Linked DNA regions of Daphnia pulex. The protein of the gene in region 1 purifies or fractionates together with the protein of each later gene. This does not show direct contact. Links are inferred from orthologs where the notes say so. Each region holds a gene or a part of one and is shown on either strand. Other genes may lie near its edges.

The links.
Region 2: the proteins of nuclear pore complex protein Nup50-like (region 1) and importin subunit beta-1-like purify together in Homo sapiens (affinity purification with mass spectrometry; 4 studies listed by BioGRID and IntAct, counting the BioPlex papers as one, with this or other methods). This does not show direct contact. The link is inferred for Daphnia pulex from reciprocal best matches to the Homo sapiens genes NUP50 and KPNB1.

The regions. Positions count from the first base shown.
Region 1 is NC_060026.1:3,791,231-3,795,213, reverse strand, and holds nuclear pore complex protein Nup50-like, read right to left. Parts: upstream 2,476-3,983; 5' UTR 2,413-2,475; intron 2,347-2,412; 5' UTR 2,337-2,346; coding exon 2,178-2,336; intron 1,996-2,177; coding exon 1,283-1,995; intron 1,221-1,282; coding exon of another isoform or gene 1,214-1,220; coding exon 1,079-1,213; intron 1,016-1,078; coding exon 697-1,015; 3' UTR 508-696; downstream 1-507. UniProt on the Homo sapiens protein: Component of the nuclear pore complex that has a direct role in nuclear protein import. Actively displaces NLSs from importin-alpha, and facilitates disassembly of the importin-alpha:beta-cargo complex and importin recycling.
Region 2 is NC_060020.1:1,462,322-1,466,482, forward strand, and holds the start of importin subunit beta-1-like, read right to left. Parts: upstream 2,910-4,161; 5' UTR 2,720-2,909; coding exon 2,662-2,719; intron 2,553-2,661; coding exon 2,494-2,552; intron 2,353-2,493; coding exon 1,969-2,352; intron 1,905-1,968; coding exon 1,752-1,904; intron 1,690-1,751; coding exon 1,540-1,689; intron 1,473-1,539; coding exon 1,131-1,472; intron 1,066-1,130; coding exon 733-1,065; intron 670-732; coding exon 451-669; intron 393-450; coding exon 1-392.

The sequences.
Region 1 (3,983 bases):
GTGATGGCTTCATCACTGACTTACTTAACACGACATCAAACACAGTTGGATACTATTTCTCCCTCGTGGGACTAGTCGATTATAAAGACATGTAGTTGAACGCTGATACGCCATGACGTAAAGCCATAAAAAATCTTGAGAAATAAAAAAAATACCAAGTGAAAGGGGCTTAACCGTAGCGTAGTCGGTTTGACTATTTTTTCCTCCTAAAGTTGGAAATGATCGATGAGTGACATACTGGACAGGAAAATATTGATACGAAAAAATTATGATAACTCAATACGTGATGGTTTCCCATTCCGCAGAGCTCGTCTGTCATCTCCTTTCGAGTTCTAAATGCTGAAACCAGATCACATATTAAATCTCGGTCGGCTCACGGCTCACATCCAAGAATGTTACCATCCAGTCAGTCCGGAATAAATACGACATTCCATCGTGATTCGTGATGACGGCATACTCCACACTCTTTTGAATCAACCGTACAATAAAAAGAAAAGAAACTACATATTAGGTTCTTACTTGTATTGAATTTGATTTGAAATTTGCCTGTGGTGAAATCACGGTCGTCTCAAACGGGGATTGTTATTGTACAGATCGTAAAAAAATAATTGAATGAATAAAATAGTGAAATGGGGGATCACAAGAAAATGGAAGAAACAAAAAGAACTCAAATTATGCATGACTGACCCAAGTCGATCATTTTTTTGCTTCGTTCAATTTGGCCAAGAGTTCATCGGCTTCAGTGTCCGTCTTCACACGAAGGAGCATGGGTGTCGGGACAGGCGGCGTTTTTGGATCAATAGGCGGGTTGGGAATGCAAACCAGCATGACATTATTCTTGCCGATTCGCTGGGTCGTTATTTGTGGGTTTAAAATGATGTTTAGAAGAATGTTGCCCAGCGAGGTATCGGCACGGATCACCAGTTGCGTTTTATCGTCCTTGACTTTCTTTAGATGGATTGTGCCAACACCTTTTTCCGTGTAATTGGCATCCTTTTTGTAAAACAGTTTACATCTGAGCGGGAAAAATGTTAGCGTTAAAACACAAAAAATAAGCCAATAAAAGTAAAATTTGTACCTTATAGAATAGAAGGCGTCTTCCTCTTTGACTTCTTTAACTTCCACTTTAGGTGGAACGTCTTCATCTTCTCCTTCCTCGCCGTCTTTACCACCTTCCGCTTCTTCCTTTTTCACTTCTGTTGCCGGCTTAGTACTAGAAACACAAAGATAATAATACGAATTAAAGACATTAAAATGAAAAATTGATTTGTTGGATTACTACCTAGAAAACCCGAACGAAAAGGCTGGTGCGGTAGTAGTAGTAGCAGCAGGTTTAGTGCCGGAAAAGGCAAACAACCCGCCGGTAGAAGGTGGACTAGTGGTTGAACTAGTGCTGGATGCCTTGAACGAAAATGTCGATAACGGAGTCTTTGATTCTTGATCACTTTTAGCAGGGGCGCCAAAGGAAAAAGTTGAAATCGATGGTGCTGTTGTCGGCGTTGAGCTAGCGAATGAAAATGTTGAGGGTGGTTTGGCCGGTGTAGAAACTGTCGACCCATTGCCGAAGAAACTGAAAGAGGGTTTTGGAGCTTCTGCTGATGCAGAACCAAATTGGAATTTCTTGTCTTCAAGCTTCTCACTGTCAATCTTGCCAGGTTCAGTAGTCATGTTTTCTTTTGAAGATGGTGAAGCTCGTTTGGATTCTAGATCTTTCAAATGCTTTTCATAATCTCGAAAGATGGGAGTGAGTACACAGCATGGGTTCTTTTTTACATGGTCTGTAATCCATGTTGTAACAGTCTCATTCAGAGACTTTAGGTTGGCAAGGTACTCTTTTTCATTAGCCCCATTATCAGTTGGTGTCTTTTCTCCATTTTCTGTCTTGCCTGTTTCTACAGTAGTTGGTACTTTGATAGCAAAGTTGGAGAATGCTTTACTGGGTTCAGAACCTGTGCGAACTCCAAAACCAGCAAACCCAGAAAAACCCTTCTTCGCCTGTAAGGGAATAAAATAAAACACGCTGTAAAAAAATATTCTGGAATTGGGAACACGGTTGTAGTTCTGTCATTCATTCAAACCTGGTTACAAAAAAACCTGAGAAATATGTGGAAAACATCTGACACACTTAAATACTAGTTAACCAATTGACTAGATTGTTACTTAGCACAATAAATTACCTCTCCATCATTGCCTGCAATCCTTCTTTTTGCTTGTCTAATCACACGGCCCTTTAATGCCTCGTCCGAAGCCTGTTGGAAGCTTCCCGCCTCCTCCTCCTCTTCTTCGTCATTCCAGTTGTCGTGATTTAATTCTCGAGTCGCCGTACGCTTAGCCATTTGAAGTTACCTGTTGGGTTAATAAGTCAACTGAACGGAGTCTTACTCTTACAATTTAAAACTGAAAGTAAATTACAATTTCCGGTTTCACACGATTTTCACACGATTCGAGCCAGTGAAAAAAAATTCTGGCAACACTGTCTGGCAACAATGTTGCCAGACATTTTTTTTAAACATCGTTTACTCGAGGTCGTACCCATCTTTCGAGAATATAAATAAAATTCCATTCAATGAGTGAATAGCCTAAAAATTGCCGATAATTTACCTAAGAAGAATTCAGACGTACCCAGCTCACGGCAAAGTCAAAGTGGAAGAGAAATTATACTTCACGACATTCCATGGGTGGGATAGAAATGTAAACGAAAGTTTGCTGCTGAACGGGTACCTGCATGTTGAAGGACTGCATCTTCAGATCGTAGTGCGTCTCGGGCAGTAAATGAGTGACAATATGAGTGCGGGTGTTGCCGCCCAAGACCGTCACCTTGGTGTAATCTCCAGCACTTGTCGTCGAATGGTAATAAATGAAGAAACCTTCTAGAGGAACGCATAGTCTAACATGAGCCGAACAAGAATCACAAAGAACAGTGCACTCGAATCAAATAAGAACATAAATTTGACTGAAAGGCACGGATTTGGATTTTACATGAGAAAAGATAGAAAGGGCAAAATCTTCAAATAACGGGAGTACTTGAATTATGTCAATATCCATAACTAGTACGCAATTTAAAAAATAAATACAAAAAGAAAACAACAACAGCCCAAAAAGAAAGAAAGAAATCGCAAGCAAAAATTGAATTTCGTAAAATTGGTTTACCGCAAAAAAATGTCCGGGTGTGTATCACCCTACTACACAATACAAGTCAATTAAATCCAAACGACTTTCAAATAAAAAATCGCACCGGCCTGTGTCAGTCACTCACAATGGTCCTTACAAAGATAATAACTTATCGTTGATAAGTTGCCAACAAATCCCATTTGGTGTCGCTTGTGTAGTGCTAGTGCCCCAGTGATAATGTATAACATACAAAAACTTCCCCGGCTCCTGACAGCTTACAAGGCGCTGGAGCGTCTGTCGCAGAGCCAGTTTAATCTCGATCAGATTGCCGTCGTTGCCGAGGCGGCCAGTGGCCAGGTGGATCTGACGATGCAGTCGGAGCAGTCACAGTGTCAGCCTTTCGGAAGCGGTGAGGAGTCGTTGAGTGCCAAAGCCGGATCTGGCGGTAATTCATCTCCGCTGGATGCCACATGGATCAAAAGCGCCCTCACTCTCAACGACGTCGAACGTGATCAATGCCGGCCACTGTCAAAATACATGAGGAATATGATGATCTTCAATTGGCTGCACACGCTGGAGGACGGCCCAACTGAAATACTCTAAAAGAAAAAAAAAAGGTTACGATGAAATCTCAACGAGCTAGAAGACGAATAGCGCCAAAATGTATACAAGGAGATAACCCAACTAGATCGCCGATGGAAAAAAAAAAGTTTGAACCAACACCATTTCGGTTATATTAACATCTTTCGAGAACTGGTATTATTTATCTACAATTATCTAATTTCTCCTTCTGCGACGGACGAGCAAACGAAAACCCCACGGTGTTTCATTTAGCGAATGATTTATTTCCGTATACTGTATGTCGCACACAT
Region 2 (4,161 bases), on another chromosome or scaffold:
AAAGGCAAGATCTTGGCGCCTAGAGCTCGGCAAATGTCGCCAACCAGTCCGACGGACGCCTGGCAGATGGTAGTCTCGGCGTGGTTTCTCAATCCCATGATAAGGTAGGGACGGAAGGCTTCCATGTACTTGATGAATCCTTCGCCAAGGACTTCCGTCAATGTTGCCACTGCCATCAACGCATCTTCCTGAACACCACCAGCACGATTTGGCCCAGCGCTCGAATTGAACATCTGCAGCAAGGCCGCCATGATCGGGTCAGAGATCTTGGGAGCATCTTCTGGGGTGACTTTACGAAGCACGCTCTGTAATGTGGCGCAGAGCAGCGACTGAAGATCGTTGTATTGGACTCTATCCGAATGCGACGACACGTGGGATTCCATGTTAAGAACCTAAAAAAATTTATCCGTTTTACAATGCCAAAACATGCTTTAGAGTAAGTGATAATACCTGTTGCAATCTCTCCAAGATGACCATTGTGGTCTTCTGTACAGTAATATAGCAATCTTTGGGCGAGTTCTTGACCATTTCCATCAAAGCTTCATAGGCAGCAGCACGGAGGTTAGCTTGAGCAGCATCAGGCCGATCAGTCGTTTCCAATAGCTTTTGAACGATGGGCTCAAAATATTCAGACAGGCAGTACGAATCTGGTTCATTTCCATCGGTAGCCTATTCAACTCAAGAACATAAATTTAGGTTTATTTGAACGTAGTTACAAATTTTCAGTGTTACCTGTGAAGCAGTTTCATAGGCAGCTTCAGCCAGGCTCGAGAAAGCCCAGCAAACATTAGAAGCGACACGAGGCTCAGCAGTCAGTCCAGTAACGAGAGCCTGAAGCAGTGGCTGAAGATTGGGGGGAGCCACAGCTGCATCGGGGATGATTTCACAAACTCGTCCAATCGTCCAGGCTGCAGTGTCACGTACATTAACGCTTGTATCATGCATCAATTTGAAAAGGAAAGGCATAGCTTGTTCAACAATAGGTTTTAACTGAACAGCATCAGGTCCTTCAAGGATAGAACCAAAAGCCATTACGGCGGCGTCACGGAAACGCCAGTCTGGATTCTAAAGTTGTTGAAAAACGAAAATGTTATTGTACCAAAAATGTGATTTCAAGAACTGTATCCAACCTCAATGTTCTCCTTGACGAAAGGAAGGACGTGAGGAACGATGACATCTTCACAGCAGTTGGCTAACAACATGAGACACACACCGGCAGCCTTACAGGGATTCCAATCGTCTTCATCATCATACTCTTCTTGTTTAGTCAACGTTTGCATCAACACAGGAACTAGATATTGAAGAGCTCCCTTTGCGTAGAATTTAGACGTATGTTCAGGCGGACGGCCCATTTCAGCAGCTTCGCTGGCCTCGATAGCCAAATCCACCTCTTCGTCACAAACGTTCGACCAGAACTCAATACCTTGCAGTGCGATTTCATCAATCTCCGACCTCATCGCTTCCAGTGTAATCTATTCATAATAATGAGTAAAAACTTTAAAATTTGTATAAATTTTTTTGTCAGTTTGATTAACTCACCGCAAAAAGTGCTGGCCCCATGTAGTGCTCCATGTATTGGTAATATAGGGACATAATTTTGACCAGACATTGAAGTGCTGCAACCCGTACTTTTGTGTCGGGAGATTGCGTTGCTTCACACACAACTTGCATGATGAAGTGCCGTTCACTCTACACAATTAGAAAGCGATCAGTAATAACAAACGTAGGTATTCAAATAGTAAAATACATACTTCTTTGTCGAAGTTAGCTTTAGTGAACTCCAATGAATTCAATAGCGCAGTTGTGGCAGCCAATCTGACGTGATTGCTTGGTTCCTCACGTTTCATGCCATGTACGATAGCAGTGAGAATCTCGTTCGACTGAGTAGCTAGTACTTCAGCATCCTGCATTTTTAAAACATATTTTATAATTTTCTCATCCAAATTATGTAATACTTGAATCACTCACAATATCCTGGCAAATATATCCAATCGTTTCCAGAGTGGCTTCCCGAACCATTTCTGTGCTGTTAGCTGCAGTGACATTGGCAACAAGTACAGATATCAATTCTGGCCACTGACTGACTGGTAGTTCAGCAACTGCCATGTACGCAACACATTGAGCAGCAGAGCTAGGGCGGATGGTCTCTGTACCCAAAGCAGCTAAAATGTTCTTTTTTACATAGGTCCTTAGATCGTGTGGGAATGACAACCATCTCTGCTGGTATTCCAGCTTGACATCGGTATCTTTTGAAGTCAAGCAATTTTTCAACTGCAGACCAGCTGCCATGCGGGCAACAGGGCTATTTGCTCCATGGGCAAGAATGTCAGACAAGGCTCTGATGAACTCAACCTATGTGAGAAGTACAAGTTTAGCAAAGTAGAGACTTAGTTTGAATTTTAAATTTATCTAGCCAAACCACATTTGATACAAGTTTTGCTTAGCAACACAAAAATGGGAGAAAAGTTGGTTGAAACAAAGAAAGTTGCTTACCAGATTGCCTCTTGCTGCCTGTTCAAGATAATTTTGGGCTGCTTCCAATTCATTCTTCTCTGTTAGACAAAACGTGAATGACAGTTACTAAAACCATTCAGTGTTCGGGAAAAATCAATGGCGTTGTAACCATGCCGTTGTAGAAAAAAGTAAATTTAAGTAACTAACCTGACGATACAGTTTTCTCCAAAATTTGAATTAGTTGAATATTTGGTTCGGGCACCATTTTCCCTCCTTTTATTAATAAATATCACAGATCTTTCAGTCGTAAAAAAAACTTCTAGGACTTGTTAATAGCTAGGCGTGAAAGAATCAGACGGTTAAGTTCGTCTCAACCGGCGAAGGGCGAACACATGTGGCGAAAAAAAAACCACCAGTTTTTCTCAAGGAAAAGCGACCTCTATTTGAAAAAGAATTACACGAATTTTTTATATTCAACTAATGACCAAAAATAAAATATATTAAAACGACGTACTGTGAAAAATAAAATTTTTCAATTATTTTAAATCTAATCATGAATCTTTTTGTTAAAGAATGTAGTATTTCAATCGGATCTATGTAGTCCATGCGTAGGGTTAAGTTAACTTCCGCTCTCATAAAATGGCGGCAAAGTGATTACGAAAAAATGTGATTGTTTAACCAAGAGTATCCAAAAATTATGAAAACTCTCCGGGGAAAACTGCATTTGATTAATTGGAATTAAGGAAACGCCATTTTGCCACTACAGTTGAAATTTGATTTTCAACTTTAAAATAATCAACTTGCTATCCTTCGAAGTTAAGAAAAGCGTACTGCCCTACATAGTTTCTTAATTAGAGTCAAATTTCACTAAATTATAATTTTTGTAGGCTGCTATGATATTTATGAGTCCGTCAATCCCACAGGGAATTGGAAGCTTTTTCGGTTAGTAACTGTCAGAATAGATGGCGCCAATTTGAAATTTGAATCAATAGAGCAGATTTCTATATTTTAAAATATTGCTACTGCTTTAACTTTTACGAATAAATTGTTATAGTTCCTAAAATGAAGAATAATTCGTTGTTCCTTGTGAACCATGATTAAAATGCAACCTATTCTCAGCTGACGACGCCCGTTAATGCTGCAACACGTACTGACTTGAATTGTATCCAAGCATTTCGTCATAGATTCGACAGGATAGTCAAACTATTAAAATGTAAAAAAACTTACATCAAAATGAAAAGAAAAATTGTCCTACGTGCGAATAGAAAACATTTATTACAAGAATAATCCAAATTAAGTATCGTTGTTGAAGGACGACAGGTACCGCCACTATCGCGGAACCAGGTAGAAAGGCAAAAACGTAACCATACTGAACGCTCTCTGTTTGTCTGCAGAAAATCAGTAGTCAATAACTTTGATAACACAATCTGTCTGCTGTCTACGTGTTTAAACATGGCAACGAATAAATAAATTTTGTATTTTTACTTCCATAAAAATGAGCCATTTCGTCACTGACGTACTACTCGTGATTCTAGGATTGGTGGCTTCCGTTATTATTGTTTTGAGCATTGTTGGAATTGGTAAGTTGTTTACGCAATATTAATATGCATGGGCGAAGAACATCAACAACAGTTATCTTTATGTCTTTTTTTAAATTCATGATAAAAATTTTGTCCTTGATGCTTATTTTTAATCATATGCTTAAAC